7 linked regions of the Callithrix jacchus genome follow. The protein of the gene in region 1 purifies or fractionates together with the protein of each later gene. This does not show direct contact. Links are inferred from orthologs where the notes say so. Each region holds a gene or a part of one and is shown on either strand. Other genes may lie near its edges. The genes, in order: VAPB, MIGA2, VPS13C, RMDN3, TTC1, ACBD5 and OSBPL9.

Region 1 (3,500 bases):
TCTTGCATAGTTTTGGGAAGGGTTGGAGGCACGGAGGGTGGGAATTGCCTTCTTTTTCTGTATCATAACCTTGCTGCTATGCTGGTCTATAATCCTAGAATACCCTGAAATTCCCATCCTCTGCTGCCAAGAGGAGAAGTAATCAGGAGCACATCCTCTTAGAACATGGAATTTAGCTAGGAAGATGCTCTCACTACAGCCTGGAGAGGTGGAGATGGGCCTTGGGGTAGATACAGCCCAGACACTGCCACAGTGTCAGAGGAGGAATTTGGTAATGATTGCGTTTTGTTGGAGGTTGGCAGAGTGGTTCTAAAACCACTCTCAGATAGTATGTGCTTACACTTTCTAAGAAGGATATGCATTTAAATTTTATTTATTATTTTTGAGACAGAGTCTCTCAATGTTGTCTGGTCTGGAGTACAGTGGTATGATCCTGGCTCACTGCAGCCTCTACCTCCTGGGCCCAAGCAATCCTCCCACCTCAGCCTCCTGAGTAGCTGGGACCACAGGCATGTGCCACCATGCTTAGCTAATGTTTTAATTTTTTTGTAGAGACGGCATCTCCGTACGTTGCCCAGACTGGTCTCAAACTGCTGGGCTCAATCAGTCCTCAGTCCTCCCACCTCAGCCTCTCAGAGTGCTGGGATTAGAGGCATAAGCCACCATGCCCAATCTAAAATAAGTTGTATTTTCATATGGAGAACTAAGGTTACCTGTGGTCAGCCAGACATTATTTAGAGGATTCCTTTCAGTTCAGTGGTTGGCCTCTCCCACAGAGTAGCAACATGGGGAGCGTTGGTTGACTTTGAGGAGTCAGGCAGCAAGTCTTCAGGGTTTGTGAAGTGTAATAAATATTCAAGAAGGCAAGTGTATTTACTCTTGTCATGTTACAAATATTGAAATCTCAGCAGACTTTAGTTCTTTATTTGATATACATTGGGGTTTTCTCATTAAGAGTATTTTTCTGAAATTGTCATAGGAAGAAAATTATTCTTCTAGCAGCTTTATAATATCTTGATTATTAAATTTAAATTGTTTTAGTGGAAGGAGGCAAAACCAGAAGACCTTATGGATTCAAAACTTAGATGTGTGTTTGAATTGCCAGCAGAGAATGATAAACCAGTAAGTATGTTTATAGTTAACAATAATTGAATGTTGCAAGCTGATACTTATTTGCATACCATCTCCTGCAAAAAACAAGATTTAAGTTGGCAAATTATTTTCCTTTCTCTGATGTCTGAAGAAAAAAATAAGCTGAAGTCAACAAATAAGTGGGCCTTTAGGAAATCAACCTTTGAAAAACTCGCAGAAAGACAACTGATTGACGCAGTGTTTCCCCTTGAAAAGTGCAGCCCAATGTCCATTGCGATGTCATAAATCCCAAAGAGCTTTTGTGGCCCGGCAAAGGTATAGGTTGCTGTTAAACAGTGGGTGAAGTCAAACAGGGAATAATTTGCCCTTTATTATGGTGCTTGATAGACAGGTGGGAAGCTCTCAGGTTCTCTTGTTCTACAGAGTGCCTTGTCAGCCTCCCTACCCCTTTTACCCTATCTATGTCTTCAGTCAAAGATTGTTTTTAGGTGAGGATCAATCTCAGCACTGTTGACAGTTGGGGTGGATAATTCTTGGTGTTGGAGGTTGCCCTGTGTACTGCAAGGTCTCTTAATAATAGCAGCATCCCTGGCTTCTGCCCTTTGGGTACCGGTAGTACTCCCAAGTTGTGACAGCTAAAAATGTCTCCAGATGTTACCACACGTGTCCTGGAGGTCAATATCAACCCCCCATTGAGAATGATCCCACTCCTGTGTTGCCTACCTGGGAGAAGGCAGGAGCCCCATCCTCTAGGCTGTCTGCTCATGGTCTCTTTCATGGTCCTCACTTGTGACCAGTTGAAGAAAGGAGACTGTAACTGAAATGCTCATTTGGGCTTCCCTTCAGCATAGTCAGAAACATTTTAATTGTCATAAAAACACCAAAACTGAAAACATGCAGCATATGAAACTACCCTAGAGGTTAATAGCTGGAGTTGGGAATAGCAGTGTCCCAAAACGTTCTGTTAACATCATCCATGTTGATCTGCAGGGATGTTGTTGATTTGTGTCAAACTACCTGGTATTTTCTTTCTGCTCAGTCACTTACCACTATCATTACCCTGTTTCTTTAAGTGGTCATTTTTCCCTCTTCCCAGTGTACAGCCTGTCACAGGAAGGTCAGTTTGGAAGTTGTGAAACCTGTATTCTGGCCTCAGCTCTGTGATAGGTTGACTCTGTAGCCTGGGACCTTGCCTTACAGGGCCCACTCTTCTCATCTGGAAAATGATGGGTAGAGCTAGATTCCTGGTTTTCAGTTTGCTACCCAGGTCAGTGATCCTTAGTTACTCTTTCCCTGACAAATTTCATGTTCCCATGCCCTCCCTCTACTGACTGGCTCTCATCCCAGTAAATCTCAAGAAGGGGCTCATAGCTCAGTCTTGGCAGGGGACATGAGGGGAGTATGTAGCTTCTCAAGATTGAAACACTGCAGACACTGAGCTTGTTTCATCTTCATCCCAGCTTCCAAATGCTAAGTTGGTAAAATAAATCGCCCTCGGCGTAAATGCTCTCCCAAGCCTCCTATCCCCACCAAGGCAATCTTAGGGATGTTCACATCTTTATGGTGACAGTAATTTGTGGCTAATAATTCCTGAGCTTGCACAATTACAGTATGCTAAGTTTTGCATGACAGGAATTTGATAGTGCAACATACACAGCCCCTTTTCTCTTTCTTTGAAGTATTAGTCTCAGCCGAACTTCATTATTTTCTCTTATCCATAATTTCTAGAGCCCAGTTGCTTTAGATTATTAAGATACTAGATAAAGTGATCCATTTGAAAAGTAAATGTGACATTTTACAATGTGGATAAAATGCTACTACATTTGGTGTTTGCTGAGAACTACTTTGCATAAAAAAGTCTCCTTTATTACATGGTTGGTGACACTTAGGCTTTCATTTATTTTTTAACAGCATGATGTAGAAATAAATAAAATTATATCCACAACTGCATCAAAGACAGAAACACCAACAGTGTCTAAGTCTCTGAGTTCTTCTTTGGATGACGCCGAAGTTAAGAAGGTTATGGAAGAATGTAAGAGGCTGCAAGGTGAAGTTCAGAGGCTACGGGAGGAGAACAAGCAGTTCAAGGTAATAGTTTATTTTCTGGTAAGCTACAGAGAACAAGGGCGTTTTCACTAGGATCTTGGATGAGGAAGTTGATGAACCAGTAAATATATAGATTTATTTTTGCTTTTGGCATTTGTCTATCTTTTTTCTCCCCGGGAAGAAATTTCCATAGCTTTCATCAGATTCTCAAAAGGGTCCTTGGATCTGCCTAAATTAAGAGCCACTGTCCCTTGATCAGCAGTTCTCAACTGTTTAAGCCCTTGTCCCCTTTAAAAAAAAAAAACAAAAATCTCACACTCTCCATTAGTGTAAATTGAAAATAAATGTTGAGACCAAAATAG
Region 2 (2,892 bases), on another chromosome or scaffold:
ACTTCCTGAGCCACCACACCCCGGCCTCGTGCAGTTCCCACAGTGGCCCATGGTTACCATCTGCATAAGTTAAAATGGGCTTTGAAAGCTCAAGTCACTGCCCAGGGCCATCCAGCAGGAACGTGCATGAGCTGAGTTGACCTCCAAAGCGTGGCCCTTTATGCCACACCTGGGCCTGGTGCCCTCATCCTACCTGGGCCCAGCCTGGCCCCTCAGCCTTGTTGCCACTGCAGGTGCCCGATGGCTTCATCTCCCACTTCTACTCCGTATCGGAGCATGTGAGCCCTGTCCTAGCCTTTGGCTTCCTTGGACCCAAGCCTCAGCTCGCTGAAGTCTGTGCTTTCTTCAAGGTAAACGGAGCAGTTTTTGTTCTTTTCTGACCACTGCCCTGGGCACAGGCACCCTGGGAGGTGCCAGGAATGGGGTGAGGGCCTGGGCCTGCTCCCAGAAGGAGGGCGGAGCTGGACCCACGTGGGTCCAGAGGAAGCAGCGGGAGGGAGGAGCCTGGGGGTGGAGAGGACTGGCTGGGGCTCTGGTGGTGGAGAAGGGGGGTGGGGTGACCTGGAGGGCATCATGGTGGGCAGCAGCCCGGGCCAGGCCTGACGCTAGCCCTGTTCCCGCAGCACCAGATCGTGCAGTACCTGAGGGACATGTTTGACCTGGACAATGTGCGCTACACGTCGGTGCCCGCGCTGGCAGACGACATCCTGCAGCTGTCCCGGCGCCGCAGCGAGATCCTGCTGGGCTACCTTGGGGTACCCCCCACCAGCAGCACAGGCCTGAATGGAGCGCTGCCCCGAGAGAATGGGTCCCTGGGGGAGCTGCAGTAGAGGCTGTGTGGGCTGGAAGCAGCAGAGAAAAGGCTCTTCCTCCCTTCCCTGGGTTGGTGGCTGATGGCCGTGGTGGCTGAAGGCGGTTGCCCCTGACCTTGCCATCCCCATCATGTGGGAGCCCCCAAAGCCCAGAGGGGAAATTTCCATGGAGAGGGATGGAACAGTCCCTGGGGGAAGCAGAGGCCAGGACAGTGGCCAGTGGGGCCTGTGGGAGAGAGAGGCAGTGAGAGAGGGGGGCGTTGTGGAGAATTGGGATAAGCAGAGCCAGGATGCCCCAGGTGAGGTACCACAAAAGCTCTCATCACCCCAGGGCTGCTGACAAGGGGGCTGGGATGGTAGAGGTGAAGGAGGGGTCTCTGTGCCCTGTAGTGAAGGTCACAGTGTCCAGAGCTAGAAGCCACCTGTGGCTCCATGGTCTCAGCATCCAGGCATCCGGCTGGCCTGTCCTGATGGCCTCCCCATCTTGGCCACATTCTCAGAGACTTTGCAACTCCAGAGGAGGAGAGTAGGGCCACCTTGGTCGGCAGCAGGCTCAGGCCATCCAGAGGTGGAACAGAGGTGTGGGGGCCTCCCCATCCTGTGCTCTCTGGGAGGGGACAAACCCAAGCACCAAACCAGGACATTGTCCTTTGACATTCCCTTGCCCTGCCAAAGATCGTCATTTCTTCTCCCACCTTTGCCACCACCAAAGACGGGCAGAGGTGGGGTGGGTCCTCCTGCCTCTGCCCATCCCCCTTCTGTGAGCCTGGACCTCCCTGGGTGGTGCTAGGCTCTGAGCTGGGGACTCTGACCAGGATTTGCTCAGGCCTGTCACCTGTGGGCCCAGGGACCACGTTGGGGGAGGTCAGAGGATGTTTGTGGCTGGACCAGCTTCCCCACCCTCATTAGTACAAGAAACTGCTCAGCACTTTGCCTTCAGTTCAACGCACAAATGCTCCTAGGTCCTCATGGGGGCAGAGAGCCTCCCCTGGGCCTGCAGACAGAGTTTTATTAGCAGGACCTCACGCCGCGGGATCCTGTCAGTGCGGCAGGCTCACTTCTCAGTATCTTCACCTGAGCAGGTGTCTGTGACCCTAATGCATTCTGTTGAGGCCTGCAGGAGAAACAGACTCCCCTCCTGGGTTTCCAAACTCAGGCGTCAGAGGACTGGCTCCTGCGACCGGGGCCCTGCTCCTCCGAATGGGAAAGGGGTCCGGGGGTGGGAGGGTGCAGCATGGAGGGGAGGGGAGACAGTGCTGGGGCGGCCCGTCATCTGTGAGCCCTTTCCCAGACTCGGGATCCTTGGGCACTAACCTGCCTGGACAGGAAGGACCCTGTGCCCCCCGTCCACCCTGAATCCTGACATCCTGTTCATCTGCACTTGCCCTGTGCTGTGAATGTAATGGTGGCCTTGGCCCCGCCCCGTCATTTGCTCCCCAGTGAACAGATACGACATTTTCATTTGTCTTTGTTTACACATCTGTGCACTGCCTGTAGCAGTTGACTGTCGCAGCTTCTGACTTCGGATGGTAGAGTGTGTGCACTGACTGTGAGTCAAATAAACACTTGAGACGACCTCCTTCCACCTTGCCATGTTGGTTATGTGCGTGGCTGTGTGCTTCTTGGGGCACAGCAGGCCCAGAGCCAGTGGGAGCCCCTCCAAGCTGGCTCCTGGGTCCTTTTGGTCCCTACCCCCCACATCAGTCTTGGAGCACTTCCCATCTCAGAGCAGAACAAGATGTCCCAGGAGGCTCAGAATCCCAGAGATCAGAGCTGGGAAGACCCCAAGGGGAAGCCTGGACTGTTTGGCGGACTGTCACAATCAAGGCTCCCAGAATTGCACCTCTCAGGACTCACATCCTATCCAGTCCTCTCCCACAGCAGAGCCAGGCTTGGCTGTGTGACCTGCTTTGGCTAGCAGAGGCCTGAGCTCTGCTGTGTTGGGACGTGGCTTCTTGGAAAGTAGCTGCTGCCATACAAGACACCTGGGCTCCTTTGCTGGGGAAGCCACGTGGAGAACAGAGGCACCCTGGCCAGCAGCCACAGCTCATTGCCAGTCTTGAAGGTCCTCTTGGGCCAC
Region 3 (3,500 bases), on another chromosome or scaffold:
AGGCCACATTCTAAGGTAACCTGAACTGATTCTACAAGAACAGCACAATTTTCCTCTATCAATGAATGTTCGATGTCTCTGAAACTTTCCGTTACTTCTGTTGCCACATCAACACCAAGAAACCAAGTGTTATAATCATTAATCGATTTGACACCCCAAAGATTTTCCATTTCCTTAGCTGTATCTTTGGACTCATCTTCTTTCGTTTTTGGAGACAGTGCAGCCATGATTGTCATCACAGTATTAAGAATTATGGGTGAAATCTTTAAAAAAAAAAAGCAGAAAAATATTTAGGCTAAATTCTTTCCCAGATGACAATATATGCATACATGATTTTTTAAATTAAAAAGTAACTAATTTAAATTTTAAATAATTTCATAACCAAGGAAAACAAGAGAGAACACAAAATTATGTGTCAAGTCAACTAACTGGAATTAAGCAACTAACGTCGCCTGTCAGTAGTCAAAATCTAGAGTTAAACTGAGCAGTTCAGACCAAAACAGTGTGATGTGAATAGACAAGTATAGAAATGTAAACAAATTCTTCATTTTAAAATCAGCTGCATTAACTAAACCAAAGTGTGTGATCCTTGTCAAGACACACATAAATATCGTGACACAACAAGATCTTAAAAAAATAAAAGAAGATATGCATTTGCTTCCGTCCGCCTTAATAAAACTGGAAGACTGGAACTCATAGCTGTCCTTTGACTCACCCCAAGATCTGCAGATCCTACCTCTTGCTGTCTTTGGATAGTGCCTTTCTTCGCTCACTTCCCTCATTTTCTATTATTGTAACTTGAGGTCTACACTGCTGATGCCTTCTCTGTCCAACACTCTCTCCGCCAACCCTCCACAACGCCACCAGCATACTTCTACAACCCAAATCTGAGCATGTCATTCTTATGCTTAAAATCTTCATCAACTTTCCATAACTTTTTTAACCCACAGGATAAAATTCAAACTCTCTTTAGCTTAATGTGCAATGCTCTTTGTGGCCTAGTGCCTATCCAACCAGCTAGCCAGAAATTCCCCAGAAATACTAGGTTAAATAAGTTAACTGTATTCCTTTATTACTCTCTCCTACAATCCTTACTTAAAATGTAAAGAGATACAATTACATCAACAAAAGCAGGATCTAGTGTGCACTGCTTTCCTAATGTACTTGTCAACTTTTTTCCTTGTCTTATTAACGTCACTTATTTAATGCTTCCGGTCTTACAACTCCACCACACCATTCTCTCCAGCCATATGGGACCACCCCCCCCAAGTCTTAAAAGGATTTTTTCATACCTCTGCCTTTGTGCATATTATCAATTCTGTCTGGATAAACCTTTCCATGCTCTCCATCTATTTAATCTCCATTAGACTTTCAAAACTCAGATCAAATAGTCCTTCTTTTACACAGCTTTCCCTGATGTTCTGGTCTGAATGAAAGGCCCCATGTCTTTGCTCCCAACTGAACCTTGTCCATGCCTTTAGCACTGAGAGCTATGATCACTGATTTCTTTCTTTCTCCCACATGTCAGTAAGTTTTTTGACAGCAGGGGCTACGAATTCCCAATGCCTTGTAAAGGACATTTTTTTATACATTTGAGTAAACATTTTGAGTAAAAGCTCAAAAATGTTTGTTGAATAAGTCAATAAATTTATGTACAAAGAATGTAGAGTCTTCACAGCACCTAACCTAATGTCTTAAGAGAAAATACAAGAAAATTCAAGAAGTTTTTCCCCCATTTACTATTTTATATATTTTTTAAAGTAAATCCATTAACAATATACATTCTAAGACTATTCGGTATTTTAAAATGTTGAGAAAAAAATAAATTAATATTTACATGGTACTTCAAATGAAATGAGTTTCAGCCTTAGTTCAACCACTGTTGGTCACGGACATATGTAAGTAAAGCCACTACCATTACTGGCATTAACCAATTAAGCAAAAATTAAGCAATTAACCAAAAAAGGACTCATTTTTGTATCCTTTGTGTAAACAGAGAAACAGATTGCAGAAAGTATTCTATATCTTCTATTTGTGACTGGGCACGAGGTCAGACTAAAGAATCTAAATGCCACTGGAAAACAATTATTTCAATGGCACTGAAAACAATTAATGTTTCTCAATACTTTAAATGTAGAGTAAAAAGCAGTAAACTGTAATAATTATTTGTACTGTGCAGGTGTCATTATAAATATTTGAAGCCAAATAAAAAATTTGATCATATAGTTATTAAATTCAATCAACTTATATATCAAATAATGCCTAAAAATGACTTATTACAAATAAAGTAATAACAACCTCTTCTCTCCATCCTTTCTTCCCTTATCTTCCCTCCCACCCCATGTCTCTTTCCTCATCCAACTCAACCTCCCTAACACATACATGTAAATATAATAGAAAAAACTACCCTGATCATTTGTAGATAGTAAAAAGTACTCTTTTAAAGAAAATAGAAGCAAACATTTGCGTTAAAGAAAAATACACTTTAGTGTTAGAAATTACTTATTACTGAATATGACTAGCACAGTGCTTGAGTTATGAGAGACATCAAAAGATACTGTCTCAACTGCAAAATACGCAATGCTGTGAGAAAAATAAGAATTTTCACTCAAAGAATATGGTAAGTACTAACCTTAATTATAAATTCTTTAACCTTGATATTTATATTTTGTTTTCCTGAAGCCCACATACATTTTTCCATAAATAAAGAACAGGGCTGCAAGACCTATAAACAGATAAATGAAGTTCACATTTCCATAGATCCATTACATACGTAACACACACTTACAAGAACCATGTCTTACTTAACTTGGGATGTTTAACTACAGCCTGCTATTATTCTAAAAGCAAAAAGGCAAAACTAAATTAGCTAAGAATCTCTTTTGAAGATGCTTCTGAACTATGAGAAGTCTGCACACGTTGGTAAAGTACTTTAAGCAGTTCTGATGAATTTCATCACACCAAATCTTTAAGTAATAATGCACATTTAGTACATTTAAAATGTTTCTTTCTGCTATAATAGTTTTTAAATGATGTCCTCTATGAAATATACCTTTGAAATATCTATAAAAGTGAGCTAAAGACTATGGTAAGATAGGTAAATAAACAGTTTCCAGATGATTAACAGGTCAGTTTGAAACATTATAAATGGCCCTTACTGCAATAAAAGTCAAATCTTCAAATTGTGAGGTCTATATTCTTATATACCATTAAAGAAATGAATGAATAAGCTTGTACCTGAACTGAATGAAGCAATTAGTATTGCATAATTGCCATTACTTAAAAAATAGGATGAGGCCAGGTATGGTAGTGCACACCTGTTATCCCAGCACTTTGGGAGGCCAAGGTAGGAGAATTGCTTGAGGCCAGGAGTTCAAGACCAGCCTGGGCAATATAGCAAGACCCCTTCTCTACAAAAAAATTAATTTTAAAAAAATGAGCCAAGTAATAGTCCTAACTACTTAGGAGGTTGAGGCAGGAGGATTATTTGAGCCCAGTAG
Region 4 (4,078 bases), on another chromosome or scaffold:
CGGTGAAGTTTTATTCCTTAAACTGTGACGTGGGTACCTCAGTATTTTACAGTGCTTCTTAACAATGTATGTATACTTTAAATGTATTTTTTTTTAATTAATTAAGAGACAGGGTCTCACCAGGTGCAGTGGCTAACGCCTGTAATCCTGGCACTTTGGGAGGCCGAGATGGGCGAATCACGAGGTCAGGAGTTCGAGACCAGCCTGGCCAACATGGTGAAACCTCATCTCTACTAAAAATAAAAATAAATTTAAAAAATTAGCTGGACATAATGGCGGGCGCCTGTAGTCCCAGCTACTTTGGAGGCTAAGGCAGGAGAATCGTTTGAACCCGGGACCCGGCGGAGGTTGCAGTGAGCTGAGATTGCGCCACACTGCACTCCAGCCCGGGTGACAAAGCAAGACTCCGTCCCAAAAAAAATAAATAAATAAATGAGAGAGAGACAGGGGTCTCACTCTGTTGCCCAGAGCCGAGGGTGTTCATGGTTCACTGCAGCCTCTACCCCCTGGGCTCAAGTGATCCTCCCACCCCAGCCCCTAGAGTATCTGGGACTAATCACATGCCACAACCGCAGGCCTCCTGCATTCTTGTATGTATACAGTGTCTCACAATTAAAGGGTAAATAAACATAAGATCTAGTCAAGTGTATTGGGAGGACTGGCCTAGATATTTCTTCTTTCACTAAACTGAAGAAATGTTCACAATAAAATTGTTATCACAGTTCATAAAATCGGCGTTTTTAGTTGCCAACATTCTAAGAAGTCGCATACAAGAGTAAAATGGAATTATTAGATGGCACGTTATGTTTAAGATTTATGGCCGGGTGCGGTGGCTCAAGCACTTTGAGAGGCCAAGGCGGGCGGATCGCTTGAGACCGGGATACCAGGACCCAGTCTCTACAAAATAAAAATAAAATGTGGGGAGAGGGTGACGTTTTCCAGAAGGGGAGGTCCAGGCAGAAGCACAGGTAGAAAGTGTGAATATGCTGAGCGTATTCCGGGAGCAGCAAGTAAGCCGGTGTGACCGGAGGGAACTGCAGCTCTGGCTGCCGGACACCGATGGTGACTGCGTGAGCGTCCAACCAAGAAGTCTCCTGCTTTCCCGCTTTTCCCAAGCCTTCTGCCCCTTTCCTCTTCCCTTTCGCGCTCTGTGCTGACTCCGCCCCTCTGGCGTCACTCATCGCCCCGCCCCTAGGGGAAAGGAGGCGGGGTCGTTATTGTCATCTCCCTGCGCCTTCCCGCGGCGCGTCTAGATGCTGGCGCCGTCTGCCTGACGTCACAGTCACGGATAGCGTGAGTCCGCGGCGGCTGCTGCCATGGTTGCTGGCTGCCGGGTAAGGGTCTGAATTGATCTCTTGCCAGGCCAGAGCTCCTTCGGGGGCTGCGGGGGAATACCAGGAGTTTGCAGCTAGGGCGGCGGGTTTGTGGTCTGCAGTGTCGTGAGGCCGAGGTGGGGGTCGAAGGCCCAGGAGCCGGACTCTGAGCCGGGTCGAGGGGTATGCTGAAGCGGCTGTTACGTCCAGGTTGGGTGAGGGGAGCGGCAGTGGGGCCCTGGGGGCTGGAGGAAGCTTTAGGGTTCACACTGGGGTGCAGGGAGTCGGGAGCTCAGGGTTTGGGCAAGGGGATGTCTGCTGGGGTTCGGCCTGGGGGAGGCTTTGCCAGGCTCACGAATCTCTCTCTTCCTACCCCTGCCCGCCCACCTGGGCGCCTGCCTGCCTGCCTGCTCCCGGTGGCTTCTGCGGGCCGCAGGTACAGCATGTCTAGACTGGGGGCCCTGGGCGGTGTCCGTGCCGGGCTGGGACTGTTGCTGGGTACCGCCGCCGGCCTTGGATTCCTGTGCGTCCTTTACAGCAAGCGATGGAAACGGACCCGGCGCCGTGGCCGCAACCAGAGCCTGCCCAACTCCCTGGACTATACGCACACTTTAGAGCCCGGACGCCAGGGTAGGAGCCCATCCCGAGACCGCAGTCACTGCAGACTAATGGGCCTGGGGTCCGGGCTGCTTTTGGTGGAGGCCGTGGGACTGGGCAACGGAGGGAGGTGCCTTAGGGTTTCACTGTTCTGGAAGCTTGTTGAAAAATCAGTCGTCAGGCTGGGCGCGGTGGCTCACCGCTGTAATCCCATCACTTTGGGAGGTCGAGGCGGGCGGATCACCTGAGGTCAGGAGTTCGAGACCAGCCTGGCTAACATTCAACCAGATTTCAACATGGTGAAATCCTGTCTTTACTAAAAATACGAAAATGAGCGGGCGTGGTGGCATGGCCTGTCATCCTAGCTACTGGCGAGGCTTAGGCACGAGAATTGCTCGAACCCGGTAGGCGGAGGTTGCGATGAGCAGATTGCACCACTGCACTCCGGCCTGGGCGATAGAGTGGGACTCTTGTTTGGAAACGGTAGTTTGGAAGTCTCAACGAGCAATCACCTTAGATTGCAGTTGATTGTCAGCATTTTCTAACCTGGTGATAATTGAGCCTGCAGATTGCACCACTGCACTCCGGCCTGGGCGATAGAGTGGGACTCAGTCTCAAAAAAGAAAAGGCAGTCGTCGTTTTCTGTACTTTTTCCCCTCTATTACCAAGAAAATATATTTCAAAAAGTCTGCTTAGCTTTCACTTTTAGTTCTGGCCACAATAGTGCTATGCGGATATTAAAGGCACTTGATTAGTGTTGTGTGAGGTGTGTAGTAAGTAGAGGAAGAGTCCAAAAGAGGGCAAAAAGAGTCTTGTAGGAATTAAAAGTCTTGAGGCTTATGTATTAAATCGTATATTAGAATTTGAAGGCAACTTGGAAACTATCTCATTCAAGTTTTTTTTTTTTTTATCTGTCCTATGAGGAAACCGAGATTCAAAAAGATTGTGTAACTTTCCTGAGGCGGTCACAGATTAAGTGGAAAGGTTGGGCTTGGTCACCTGGTCCAGTGGACTTTGTACGGCATAGGGCTAGGAGCACGCGTCATGAAGTTGAAGCTGAGTGTGGCTGGCAGCCTGCAGAGCTGAAATGAGTAGTTCTTTCAGATTTGCAGAACTTTCCTTGTTTGAGCAAAGTATCTAGGGCTGGTTCACACTACTACCGTCTTTGTTTGAGAGGAGTGTTTCTTTTTTCTTTTTCTGTTTTTTGAGACAGTCTCTCGCTCTGTTGCCCAGGCTGGAGTGCAGTGGCATGATCTTGGCTCACTACAACCTCCACCTCCCAGGTTCAAGCGATTCTCCTGCCTCAGCCTCCCAAGTAGCTGGGATCACAGGCATGCATCACCATGCCCAGCTGATTTTTGTATTTTTAGTAAAGATGGATTTCGCCATATTGGCGAGGCTGGTCTCAAACTCCTGACCTGAAGTGATGCACTGGCCTTGGCCTCCCAAAGTGCTGGGATTACAAGTGTGGGCCACCGGGCCTGGCCGGGGGAGTGTTTAGATTATCTCACCCCCATGCTAATTGGAAATGAGTGTTTTCTCTGATTACCAATGTTAGCTTGTTTGGAAAAGGTAGTTTGGAAGAGTCTCAACGAGCTATCACCTTAGATTGCAATTGATTAGCAGCATTTTCTAACCTGGTGATAATCTAGTATTGCAAGTGTGCTTCCTTCCGTTTCCTTGTCGTTTGTTTGCAATTGCCCAGCTATAGTCTTCCGAGATGAGAAGAGAGTGGCCACATTCACAGGATTCTTTCTTGCTCTGCATTCTTGAACATTATTGGCTGTGTGTTGTGGCCTGGCCTAGTTTACCAGATTTCCTTTAAGAAGGGATTTTGCTTGATGTATGTGGATCCTGCCTCTCTGGTTTCTTTCTTGTTTTTGTGTTTTCCAGTCCAGTTACCATAGGTGGCTCTCACTTTGGTAGCATTTCACTGCTGGAATTTACTCAGAGTGAGATTTAGGGTTGGGTCCATGGGGCTTAGTAATGGTGTCTTTATGAGATGGTTTGAATGGGCTTTTTCTGGTATACCTTTTCTTTTAGCAACTGGCCCCTTTCTCTTAGTGGGGGGCAGTTACTAAGTTCTGGGAGAAGCTCCAGGTTTTCCCTGCTATTCTTTGTGAAGTGAGAGATCAGAATTTGAGGGAGCTCCATTTTAGTTTTGCTGT
Region 5 (3,964 bases), on another chromosome or scaffold:
AGTCTCAAACTCCTGCCCTCAAGATATCCTCCCATCTCCATCTTCCCAAGTGCTAGGATTACAGACATGAGCCACCACACTCAGCCTCCCTTTACACTTTTTAAATTCTGGGTGTATTTCTAAAAATTCAGAAATATTAAAACCTAAAATCTGATATATTGTTGATGTTTTAGTACATAAAGTTTTCAACTTACAATAAATACAACTGTGTGCATAACCTAATTTAGATGTAAATTCAAAAAATAAGTTTCATACTCTTCCTGAAAGGCTCTTCTAGCTATCTATCTCTGAAATAGGGTCTGTGAATTACAGAAAATTATCTGCTGTCATGGCTGGTTACTGTCTGGCTACCCTGAAGATGGGTACTATATTTCAATTCTGTGATCCCAGCACAATGCCCAGGGTCTAATAATATTCAATGAACATTTCTCGAACGACCATATAGGGCAACCACTTCCGGTCTCAGCATTCCCTTACACTCAAAATTATTGAGGTTAGTCTGAGTGCAGTGGTGTTTACAACTAACTGATCACAACCACTTACAGATCTTTTTTATTTCTTCTCCGTTCTCACTGCTTCAGTTGGCTAGCCATTAAAAAATAAAAATGGGCCGGGCGCGGTGGCTCATGCCTATAATCCCAGCACTTTGGGAGGCCAAGGAGGACGGATTTCTTCAGTTCAGAAGTTCAAGACCAGCTTGAGTAACATAGTAAAACTCCATCTGTAATAAAAATACAAAAAATTAGCCGGAAATGGTGGCGCGCACCTGAGGTCCCAGCTACTAGGGAGGCTGAGGCAAGAAAATCTCTTGAACTCCGGAAGTTGAGGCTGCAGTGAGTCGAGGCTGTAATTGCGCCATTGCACTCTAGCCTGGGCGACAGACCGAGACTCTGTCTCATAAATAAATAAAGAAGAAAGAAAGAAAGAGTGAAACCAACACCACAGGGATAGACTTCTTTTTGTCCTTTTTTTCCCTCTTGTGCAGAGTAACGCGTAGTCTTGCCATAACCCAAGATGGCAACTTTCTCTCAAATGTCACTCCGTATAACGACGTCATACAGCGACAGTGCCTTTCCTCCCTGAGAATTTCCACTACATTTCCCAGGATGCTTTGCCAATAGCGACACCATTAGTCGTCATAGACGGAAGTGCACCTGACTGAGCGGAAGTAGAAGGTCTCGGAGGCTAAGAAGGTGGAGACCGGAGAAGCTGAAAGGTTGTGAGTAACCCCGTGGGTCTAAGCGTCTTGGCTGCTAGGAACGAAGTTAGGGAATAATCTTCTGGGAAGCGCGAGGCGTCACTTTGCTAATCCTAGGAGTTCAGACTCCTGCGTTCTTCTAGTAGACCTGGGAACAAAGAGAAACAAGACATTGCTGTGGAGGCTAAGTCTCCGTATTAACATCTTGCTGGTTTTTAAGTTTTCTTGGAACAAATTAGGGCGAATTCGGACTCCTATCGTGACACAAGGGTCGTTGGCTTGGTTTCGCTGCCACTAGAGCAATTTACATTTTTGCATATCTCTAGCTGCTGATGGTCTGACTCAGCTTCTACAGCAGTGGCTCGCAATTGGCTGCATATTAGAATCACCTGGGATGCTTAAAAAAAAAAAAAAAAAACTGATGCTCTTGCTTGACGCCACACTAATAAATCAGAGTCTGGTCAGGTTCTGAGCAGTGGTATTTTCTAAAGCATCTCTAATGATCTTTTTGGCTGCTGAGGTTCACAGTCACTCTTTTTAATGCCTGACTCTGACCCTGATTAGAGTCACCTGCGCCAGGGCTCTCCTTCCACTGTAAGCTGCTTGGGCTCTACCACACGCATTTGGGTTAAAGTGAACACGATTTTGGCACGGATATTATTTTGAGGTCCACTAGAAACGTATTCTTGGGCTTCCTGCGGTGGTGCTAAAAAGACGGATCGTAATTTCTTACTCATGCCTTGGTTATTCATTCTGAATGGAGATTAGATCTGCTTCCTTTTCCTTGTCACTGTTTTAGTTTCTGCCTAATTTTTGCCATCCAAACAGAACGCGAACAGTGGAACATGGAAGAGTCACATTAAAAACGGCTTCTTTTGTTGCTTATAAGAAGTTCAGGGTCAGGCTCGGTGGCTCACGCCTGTAATCCCAGCACTTTGGGAGGCCGAGGCGGGTGGATCACGAGGTCAGGAGTTCAAGACCAGCCTGGCCAAGATAGTGAAACCCTCTCTCTACTAAAACTACAAAAATTAGCCAGGCACGGTGGCAGTTGCCTATAATCCCAACTACTCGGGAGGCAGGAGAATCGCTTGAACCGAGGCAGCAGAGGTTGCAGTGAGCTGAGATCAGGCCACTACACTCCAGCGTGGGTGAGGGAGTGAGACTATGTCTCAAAAAAAAAAAAAAGAAGTTCTGGTACCAGATTTGACCAGGAAAAGGGTGTCAGTTAAAATGACGTTTGACATTATTATTACTTACAATAAGCTATATTTTTAAATAATGAATTCCAGTGAAATGAGGTTAGGATGTTTTTTGGCTGTGATGCAGAGGTTTGTTTAGGTTTGAAACAGAACTTTTAAAAATATGAGCACCATTACATAGCAGGTGTTTTGTTTTGTTTTCCCCCAGCTTTAGCGTTACCTCCCTCACTGGGCAGCATGGGGGAGAAGTCAGAGAACTGTAGGGTTCCAGAGGATCTGTTCAATGGTTTGAAGGTTACAGATACTCAGGAAGCTGAGTGTGCTGGCCCTCCAGTTCCTGATCCCAAAAATCAGCATTCCCAGAGTAAGCCGCTCAGGGATGATGAGGCCCATCTCCAGGAGGACCAGGGAGAAGAGGAGTGTTTTCATGACTGCAGTGCCTCATTTGAGGAGGAGGCAGGAGCAGACAAGGTTGAGAACAAATCTAATGAAGATGTGAATTCCTGTGAACTAGATGAAGAATACCTAATAGAACTGGAAAAAAACATGTCAGATGAAGAGAAACAGGTAAGTATTTTGTTTATTGTGGAAGATCTGCTACTTACACTGCATTTTAAAATAATGTGGTCAGTACTGCATCATAGACCACCTCAGTTGTGGTAAAGAATGACTTGCCCTTTGTCATCTTATTGTTTTAGTAGTGATTCATCTGAGATAAATCAGTAGCATGACAGGGAAGCACTGAGTGTGTCTGCTTAGCAAAGAAATTTTCATTTTTTTCTGTGAACCTTGAGTTCTATGTTCATCTTATACTTCAGGAGTCTGTAACATAATAGTCCTTTTGTTTCATTATTTTCAAAATGTATATATACTTTTTAGGTTTCATTTATGACCTTTTCTGTGGTTGGCTGCTGAAATTTCTGTAATGAACATTTTTATGTTTATACCACATTATATTTATGCTATATTTATGCTTATGAACATTTTCTGTTTATGCTTATCCCTTGTTAGCAAAATGGGACTGCCTGAATATCTTGGTGGAGTTTGGGTTGCAGAGGTCTTGAGGAACATAATTGTGTTTGATTATAGCTAGCTGTTGTTTGTTGAAAGCCTACAATGTGCGATCCACTGACTTAAAATGTTACTTGTGTTTTTGTTGGTTTCCACAACATGCCTATGAGATACACACTTAGCATTTCCCATAAGGAAACAGCTTAGAGTGGTGAAGTAACTAGCCCAAGATCAAACACCTAATGAATTGCAAAACTAATTCTCAAATCAAATCTGTTTGATTCCAAAGCCAGAGTATAATGGAGAATGTAATAACAAAAACATCTGTCTTTCTACAAAGCAGATAAACTAATAAAATGTACAGTCTCCTGCTTCTTTGCTCTGGGGCTACACCCTTAACTGGGCAGGCCTTCACTTTTGGAGACTGAAGTCTGCTGTCCTACTTTCTTTTGCGTGCACAAGCTAGGTAATCTGTGGAGAGTTACTGTAACATCTTGAGTTTGTCTACAAAGAACTTGAACAAGATTGTAGTTTCTGCCACTAACAAGCTTACTCA
Region 6 (3,500 bases), on another chromosome or scaffold:
CTCTGCTGTATAAAGGATTGTATCATTAAAATACTGTACCTATTAGGTATTCCTAAATGTACACATATTATACAGATAATTATTATTGTGATTTGAGAATTAATCATAAACGCTTGGCCAAACTGGAAACACCAGCTGTGTGGTAATTTCCACAGCTTTTTTTTTTTTGAAATGGAGTCTTGCTCAGCTGCCCAGGCTACAGCAGTGGAGCAATCTTGGCTCACTGCAACTACTGTCTCCCAGGTTCAATCAGTTCTCCCTTCTCAGCCTCCCGAGTAGCTGATTACAGGCACCTGACATCATGCCCTACTAGTTTTTTGTATTTTAGTAGAGATGGGGTTTCACCATGTTGGCCAGCCTCGTCTTGAAAAGTTTTTTGTATTTTAGTAGAGATGGGGTTTCACCATGTTGGCCAGCCTCGTCTTGAACTTCTGATGAGGATCACTTCACTTCAGGTGATCCACCCACCTGGGCCTCCCAAAGTGCTAAGATTACAGGTGTGAGCCACTGCTCCCATCCCACAGATCTTATAAACTGCTAGGTTATTCAATTTGCAAACTTTAAAAAATATCTTGTTACAATTTTTATTTTTATAATTTTGTTATAATATACACTGATGTTTAAAACCTTTTTATTGATTTCCAGTATCTCTGAAGATCACTTAAATTAAAAAAAAAAAACTTTTAAAAAATAGATGAAAAGGAAAATAATCTGTATACTTACTATCCAGAGATAGTCTTTAAACATTTTGATGTTTATCTTTCTACTGTACTTTTTATGTATATAAATATTTTGCAAAGATATGTCATATACGTTGTTTTTAAACTTATTTTTTTTTAATGTATAGTAGATCATGGAACTTATACTATTATTTATATTTTTCTACAATATAACTTTTTAGGGCCACAGTTATAAATTATGCTTTTATAGTTAATATCATAATTATTTAAACAGTTATTTCCTATAAAACATTAACATTCCAATTTTTCAATTATTGAGAATATTGCAACTTATAGCACTTGCTTATACAATTTGAATTTTTTTTTTTTTTTGAGACAGGGTCTTTTTCTGTCACCTAGGCTGTAGTGCAGTGGCGTGATCACAGCTCACTGCAGCCTTGACCTCCCAGGCTCAGGAGATCCTCCCCGCTTAGCCCCCTGAGTAGCTAGGACTACAGGGTGTGCTATCACACCCAGCGAATTTTTTTTTTTTTTTTTTTTGTAGAGACAGGGTTTTGCTATGTTGCCCAGGCTGGCCTTGACCTCCTGGGGTCAGGTGATCTGCCCACCTCAGCCTCACAAAGTGTTTCGATTACAGGAGTGAGCCACCACACCTGACCAATTTGAAAATTTTAAACATGTAAAAAGTTATGGATATGCTAGAAACATATATGAAGAATTATTCTCAAAGAAATTGATATTTCTAAAATTACAGAGGTAGGAGTGAAAAATCTATTTTATCTTGGATTAATTATTTTTCTACCATAGTATATACTATTTGGCTTTAGCCCCAAATTCCTTATATACTGATAATTTGAAATTTGGCAGGGTATACATGTAACTTTTTCACTTATGCTAGTCAGTTTTGGTTTGTCATAAATTTTGAATAAAAATACTCTTTTTTCAATGGTTGCATAATAATAGTTATTCTATATTTTAGTATATTTTTAAAGAGACATTATTAGCTGGTTATTCTGGTTATATCTACAGCATATCTCTTCATTTATTCTTTTATTTATTGAACCATCTTAGCCATTGCTATTAAAATCTAAAATCTCAGAGTGTTTTGAAATCAAAGAAGCAAGCAACTAACAGAGCCATAATTTTTGTTTCTATAAGATAGAAATCAATCATTATCTAAAGTATTAATGAAATATAAAATCACTATTAGTATAGCTAAGGTAATTTATAACCTTAGATTATCTGTTGTATTCCCCAGATGATCTATATATAATGTTTTATATTGTGTGTTTACAACAGGTTCATTCCAGCCAACAAATGAAATGATGCTTAAATTTTATAGCTTCTATAAGCAGGCAACTGAAGGACCCTGTAAACTTTCAAGGCCTGGATTCTGGGATCCTATTGGAAGATATAAATGGTAATTTTTTGTGTAGAGCAAGAATTTAAATTTTAATGATGTAATTAACATATGGTTACTACTTAAGTGGTTATATATTATTATGTGCAGAAAATGTCCTAGGTATTAGGTACAATTTTTATCCTCCAGGTTTTTTTCTTTTTTTTTGTCGCCCAGGAGGGAGTGCGGTGGCAGGATTTCGGCTCACTGCAATCTCTGCCTCTTGGCTTCAAGCGATTCTCCTGCCTCAGCTTCCCGAGTAGCTGGGATTACGGGCTTGCTACCATGCCCAGCTAATTTTTGCATTTTTAGTAGAGACAGGGTTTCGCTATGTTGGCTAGGCTGGTCTGGAACTCCTGGCCTCAAGTGATCACTGGCTTCAGTCTCCTAAAGTGCTGGGATGATAGATAGGAGTGAGTTGCCATGCCCAGCCTCTCCAGGTGTTCTTAATACAGTTTTACACAAACAGGAAAATCCTGGGAGGAGAGGAAAACAATAAAACCAAATGGGATAGGTGCATCCAAGGTAAGAAACATTTCAGTCAATCTTTATTTTTATGGAGTTTCCCCCCCTTTTTTTTTCAAGCCAAGAGCAACTCCCAACCTAAGTTAAAGAAACAAATTTCACTGCCTCTTTTACCTGCCAAGAAAAATAATGGCTTTTGCTTGTTTGTATTGAGCGTTTAAAAGAGTAAATAGCTAGTAATATGACTCGGGTACTGCCATGCTAACTTTTTATGTAAGCTGTTACTTCTAACCTACTATACTTGAATAGAAATTTGATTTTTTGAATACTTAAAAGAATTATAAACTAAAAAGTATACTTAAAAGAATTATAAGCTGGGCGAGGTGGCTCATGCCTGTAATCCTAGCACTTTGGGAGGCTGAGGTGGGTGGGTCACCTGAGGTCAGGAGTTCAAGACCAGCCTGGCCATCATGGTGAAACCCCATCTTAAAAAAAAAAAGAATTATAAACTATAAATTAAAAGAATTATAGACACAAATACCTGTACCTGTGCTGTTTTCCCAGTTGACTAACAGTTGATATTCTTAATGCAGTTGAAGCCTTAACAAATGTCTGACAAAAGTCTTTTAGACTGTACATTATGAACAGAATATGTAAATTGGTAAAGCATGTTTTAACACCCACACTAGTTTTTTGGACACAGGGTCTCACTCCCATCACTCAGGCTGGAGTGCAGTGGCACGATCACGGCTCACTGCAACCTCTGCCTCCTGGGCTCAAACAATCCTCCCACCTCAACCTCCCTAGTAGCTGGGACTACACACATGTGTCACCACACCTGGCTAATTTCTAAAAATTTTTTCTAGACATGGGGTTTGTCTATGTTGCCCAGGCTGGAGTGCAGTGGTGCTGTTTTGGCTCACTGCAGCCTCTACCTCCCAGGTTCAAACGTTTCT
Region 7 (3,980 bases), on another chromosome or scaffold:
ATTTTTCTTATTTACTTGTTTAGTGATTGCTTTCATCACAGAATTTAAGCTCTGAGCTTATTCACTGCTGTATTACCAGGACCTCCAACAGTGCATAGATATTGTAGGTGGTCAATAACTCATTTTTTTTTTTTTTTGAGATGGAATTTGACTCTGTCACCCAGGCTGGAGTGCAGTGGTGCAATCTCGACTCACTGCAACCTCTGCTTCCTGGGTTCAAGCGATTCTTGTGCCTCAGCTAGGACTATAGGATGTACCACCACACCCGGATAATTTTTGTATTTTTAGTAGAGATGGGGTTTCACCATGTTGGCCAGGCTGGTCTCGAACTCCTGACTTCAAGTGATCCGCCTGCCTTGGCCACCCAAAGTGCTGAGATTACAGGTGCAAGCTACGACTGGCCAATAAATACTTAAATTGCCCTTGTAGGCTGTTAGTGATCTAACCCTACTTCTCTGACCTTGTCTCTCACCTCTTCCTCCCTGGTTCACTGCTCCACCTACACTGACCTCCTTGCTGATGCCTCAAGATGACACACTGACTCCTAACATCTGGTCTTTGCATTTGCTATTCCTTCGTCTTGGAAGGCTCTTCCACCAGGCTCCCTCCTTCACTTTCTTCAGTTCTTTGCTTAAAAGTTACCTTCTCGTTCAGGCTTTCCGTTTGGGAATTTAAAATAGCAGGCCCAAGGCTCCCTCTTGCTTATGTTTTTCTCCATAGCATTTATGAATTTTTAATGTACGATATAATTTGCTATTTATTTTACCATTCTCCTCACCTGTCACGAAGGCTCTGCTGTATCCCCAATGACTAGAAGAATATCTAGCACAAAACAGCGACTATTTATTAAATGAATGGATTTGTGGAATGAATTCATGAATGAATATCAGATACGAAATCTTTTGAAAGTGGAATGTATCATCACGGCAAGTAAAATTATTTATTAATATGTTCTTCATGAATAATTTTTTTTTTTACTCTAATACCATGACAGATTATAAATAATTTTAACAGCAGTATTCACGTTTGGATTCTCGCATCCCTGGCAGGGAGTCCAGCACACAATAGGCGCCCAAAGAAAGCGTGTTTGACTTGATCGCTGGGGGCGTGGGTCGGCTAGTCTGCTCAGAGGAGCTTCCGCTGGTTCCGCCCAGGACCCGCCCAGGACCCGCTCCGCCCCGGGAGGCCCCGCCCCCCTCTGCTGAATGCTATATAGACGAGTGACGTCAGGCCGTTTGTTGTCATTGGCGGCTCCTAAGATGGCGTCCATCATGGAAGGTCCGCTGAGCAAATGGACTAATGTGATGAAGGGCTGGCAGTACCGTTGGTTCGTGCTGGACTACAATGCAGGACTGCTCTCCTATTACACGGTGAGTCCTTGGAGGGCTCAGCTTCGGGCGCTTTGGGGCCACGTTTCCTGGGGGACCGGGGTTTTAGGTGGCTGAGTTGAGGTTGCTAGTCTGGGGGTGCCGCCGTACGAGAGGGTTCCCTTATGGGGGAGGGTTTTACCTCTCAGATAGCCAATGAGGGTGAGGGAGATAGGGGCGCAGCCAATAAATAGAAACTAGCTGTCTGATTTATGGGTTGGGAGTGAGCCAAGTTTCTTTTTTAGGGTCTTCTTTAAGCGATGGTGGGGTCCGGCACGGTTGTGAGTGGGTAAGGGTGGTCGTAGCCATGGTTTAAAAGGTCCAGTCGTGTGGTTCATGCCGTCTTCATATGTTGTCATGGACTTTATACTGTCCCACCAAGGCCCTGTAGTCGGCCGCACCCCTTAGCTTCCCTCCTGGGATTGAAGAGCTCTGCTTCCTCGGAGGAGTGGCCGGAGGAGCCGGTACAGGTCCAAAGGTGATCGGCCCTCGGGCAACACCAGGGGGTCCGAAATTCCTCCGGTCTGTTCAGGTTGTGTGTCTCATTCAAGGGACGCACGCCTCTATTCAGCGGGAGGAGAGCTCAAACGACGCTTTAACTTTTGAGAACCGAGGATTTCCTACACTAGAGTCTCTTGTCAGCGCAGAGAGAGAAGGGACAGTGCAGTTTCCCCTTGTAATTATATTCTGCGGAGGGCTGGGCTCAGGGCCTCACTGTTAACATAAGTTGGTGGCCGTGGACAAGTAGATAAATTGTTATGAATCTTTTTTTTTTTTTTTTTTTTTTGGAGACGGTGTGTGTCTTGCTCTGTCGCCCAGGCTGTAGTGCAATGGCGCGTTCTCGGCTCACTACAAATTGCCCCTCCCAGATTCAAGCGATTCTCCTACCTCAGCCTCCCGAGTAGCTGGGATCACAGGTGTGCACTCTACACCCAGCTAATTTTTGTACTTTTAGTAGAGACGGGGTTTCACCATGTTGGCCAGGCTGGTCTTGAACTCCTTACCTCAGGTGATCCTCCCGCCTTGGCCTCCCAAAATGCTGGAATTACAGGCCTGAGCTACCGCGCCTGGCCTCGAATCTTAAGTTTTGACTATCCCTTCCGCCTTCATCGCATTCGATATGGAGGGTGAGTGTATTAGGGAGATAAATTACTTAGAAAGTTACTTTCTCTTAATGGTGTATAGTTAACAATAGCCGAGATGAGGGAAGAAAACATTTAAAAGGACAAAATATAGTGCCCAGAAAGCTTTAGAACAAATAGAAGACAGAAAGAAAAACATATGATTATGGAAGAAGGATTAATGTTCATGAGAGAAAGGGTACACTTAATTTATTTGTTCATTTAAAAAATATTATTGAGCTGGTTTGCAGAAGAAAAGAGACCAAAGTAAAAAATATATATATATAATTGAGTTGGTATGTGCGTTTTCATGCCAGCAAGAATGAACAGTAATAAAGACACTCACTGTTCCTCTTCTGGAGCTTATATACTAGCTTAGTGAGTCCTTTAATTCATTTTATTCCTAATAATTCTGCAAGGTGGTAGTTCATTATCTCCATTTAATATCCCCAGTTACAGTTTTGAAATCTGAGGCTCCAGGCTTTTAAAACAATTTACTCAACATCACATAGCACTAAGAGGTGGAATTGAGATGCCAGATTATTGACTTTTTCTACTAAACTTCACTTTCACTACAGGAAGGAGAAGTGTAAGTTGTGAGTTACTAAAGGCAAGCTTGCAAAAGTAAAAGTATTACTTGCATCATCCTTCAGCTGTCAGCTTTCTTTCTCTACATAGTTTTTAAAGGGAAAAAGACTAAACCGTAATAAATCTTAAACACATTCTTCAAGATTGTCTTTAGGTAGGCGTGAAAGAGAGGCAACTGAATATTATATCCTGAAAACTCTGGAATTATAAAGCCATGGCCTAGATAAAGTAAAAGCAAACTGGGTTTCAGTAGATGTGATAATCAGAAAATCCTACGGACCTTATTCAAGTTAGAGTGATTTCAATTAGTGGCACTATGCAATTAAGTTACTCTTCACATCCCAGATTTGTGTGGATCTGAATCTAGGACCTTACTGGAGAGGCCCCAAGGTGAGGTTCTTGGGAATGCCTAGCCCAGAAAGAATCTTCCTTTCTACTCTTTTTCTTCCTTTCATGTATCCTTTTTCTGCTTTGTTGCCCTTTTAGTTTTTGAGTACTTGGACAAATATCTCCCTGTCTTAATAGCTAAATACAGGTTTAAAAAAAAATTATTTTTTTCCTTCAGTATTTATCCTTTCTGTGACCAGATTCCATAAAACATTATCCTTGCCAGCAGAAGGAAGTGCCATATTTCTCACTAATGGCTATTCAGAAGATTTTTTTTCTCTTCTAGTTCTTTGGTATTAAAGTATTTGCTTACAGAGAAACAGCAGACAATTGTTATACCATCTTGTGAAAGTAAAATGATACCCAGTCTCAAATTAGAGAAGGTTCAGTAAAGGTGGGAAAAAGATAGGTATTTACTTAAAAGGGAAAGTAGGTGGATCACGAGGTCGAGAGATCGAGACCATCCTGGTCAACATGGTGAAACTCCATCTCTACTAAAAATACAAAAACTTAGCTG

What was found.
Region 2: the proteins of VAPB (region 1) and MIGA2 purify together in Homo sapiens (affinity purification with mass spectrometry; 3 studies listed by BioGRID and IntAct, counting the BioPlex papers as one, with this or other methods). This does not show direct contact. The link is inferred for Callithrix jacchus from reciprocal best matches to the Homo sapiens genes VAPB and MIGA2.
Region 3: the proteins of VAPB (region 1) and VPS13C purify together in Homo sapiens (co-immunoprecipitation; 3 studies listed by BioGRID and IntAct, counting the BioPlex papers as one, with this or other methods). This does not show direct contact. The link is inferred for Callithrix jacchus from reciprocal best matches to the Homo sapiens genes VAPB and VPS13C.
Region 4: the proteins of VAPB (region 1) and RMDN3 purify together in Homo sapiens (affinity purification with mass spectrometry; 4 studies listed by BioGRID and IntAct, counting the BioPlex papers as one, with this or other methods). This does not show direct contact. The link is inferred for Callithrix jacchus from reciprocal best matches to the Homo sapiens genes VAPB and RMDN3.
Region 5: the proteins of VAPB (region 1) and TTC1 purify together in Homo sapiens (affinity purification with mass spectrometry; 4 studies listed by BioGRID and IntAct, counting the BioPlex papers as one, with this or other methods). This does not show direct contact. The link is inferred for Callithrix jacchus from reciprocal best matches to the Homo sapiens genes VAPB and TTC1.
Region 6: the proteins of VAPB (region 1) and ACBD5 purify together in Homo sapiens (affinity purification with mass spectrometry; 4 studies listed by BioGRID and IntAct, counting the BioPlex papers as one, with this or other methods). This does not show direct contact. The link is inferred for Callithrix jacchus from reciprocal best matches to the Homo sapiens genes VAPB and ACBD5.
Region 7: the proteins of VAPB (region 1) and OSBPL9 purify together in Homo sapiens (affinity purification with mass spectrometry; 7 studies listed by BioGRID and IntAct, counting the BioPlex papers as one, with this or other methods). This does not show direct contact. The link is inferred for Callithrix jacchus from reciprocal best matches to the Homo sapiens genes VAPB and OSBPL9.

The regions. Positions count from the first base shown.
Region 1 is NC_133506.1:54,024,950-54,028,449, forward strand, and holds part of VAPB (vesicle-associated membrane protein-associated protein B/C), read left to right. Parts: intron 1-1,041; coding exon 1,042-1,122; intron 1,123-3,003; coding exon 3,004-3,180; intron 3,181-3,500. UniProt on the Homo sapiens protein: Endoplasmic reticulum (ER)-anchored protein that mediates the formation of contact sites between the ER and endosomes via interaction with FFAT motif-containing proteins such as STARD3 or WDR44.
Region 2 is NC_133502.1:177,645,688-177,648,579, forward strand, and holds the end of MIGA2 (mitoguardin 2), read left to right. Parts: intron 1-233; coding exon 234-350; intron 351-623; coding exon 624-830; 3' UTR 831-2,392; downstream 2,393-2,892. UniProt on the Homo sapiens protein: Regulator of mitochondrial fusion: acts by forming homo- and heterodimers at the mitochondrial outer membrane and facilitating the formation of PLD6/MitoPLD dimers. May act by regulating phospholipid metabolism via PLD6/MitoPLD.
Region 3 is NC_133509.1:8,786,673-8,790,172, forward strand, and holds part of VPS13C (intermembrane lipid transfer protein VPS13C), read right to left. Parts: intron 2,726-3,500; coding exon 2,633-2,725; intron 264-2,632; coding exon 1-263. UniProt on the Homo sapiens protein: Mediates the transfer of lipids between membranes at organelle contact sites. Necessary for proper mitochondrial function and maintenance of mitochondrial transmembrane potential.
Region 4 is NC_133509.1:45,816,674-45,820,751, forward strand, and holds the start of RMDN3 (regulator of microtubule dynamics protein 3), read left to right. Parts: upstream 1-1,278; 5' UTR 1,279-1,334; intron 1,335-1,749; 5' UTR 1,750-1,756; coding exon 1,757-1,943; intron 1,944-4,078.
Region 5 is NC_133503.1:22,816,581-22,820,544, forward strand, and holds the start of TTC1 (tetratricopeptide repeat protein 1), read left to right. Parts: upstream 1-1,164; 5' UTR 1,165-1,216; exon of another isoform or gene 1,217-1,219; intron 1,220-2,605; 5' UTR 2,606-2,634; coding exon 2,635-2,964; intron 2,965-3,964.
Region 6 is NC_133508.1:27,282,064-27,285,563, forward strand, and holds part of ACBD5 (acyl-CoA-binding domain-containing protein 5), read left to right. Parts: intron 1-1,979; coding exon 1,980-2,100; intron 2,101-3,500. UniProt on the Homo sapiens protein: Acyl-CoA binding protein which acts as the peroxisome receptor for pexophagy but is dispensable for aggrephagy and nonselective autophagy. Binds medium- and long-chain acyl-CoA esters.
Region 7 is NC_133508.1:88,545,038-88,549,017, forward strand, and holds the start of OSBPL9 (oxysterol-binding protein-related protein 9), read left to right. Parts: upstream 1-1,180; 5' UTR 1,181-1,205; coding exon 1,206-1,370; intron 1,371-3,980. UniProt on the Homo sapiens protein: Interacts with OSBPL11 to function as lipid transfer proteins.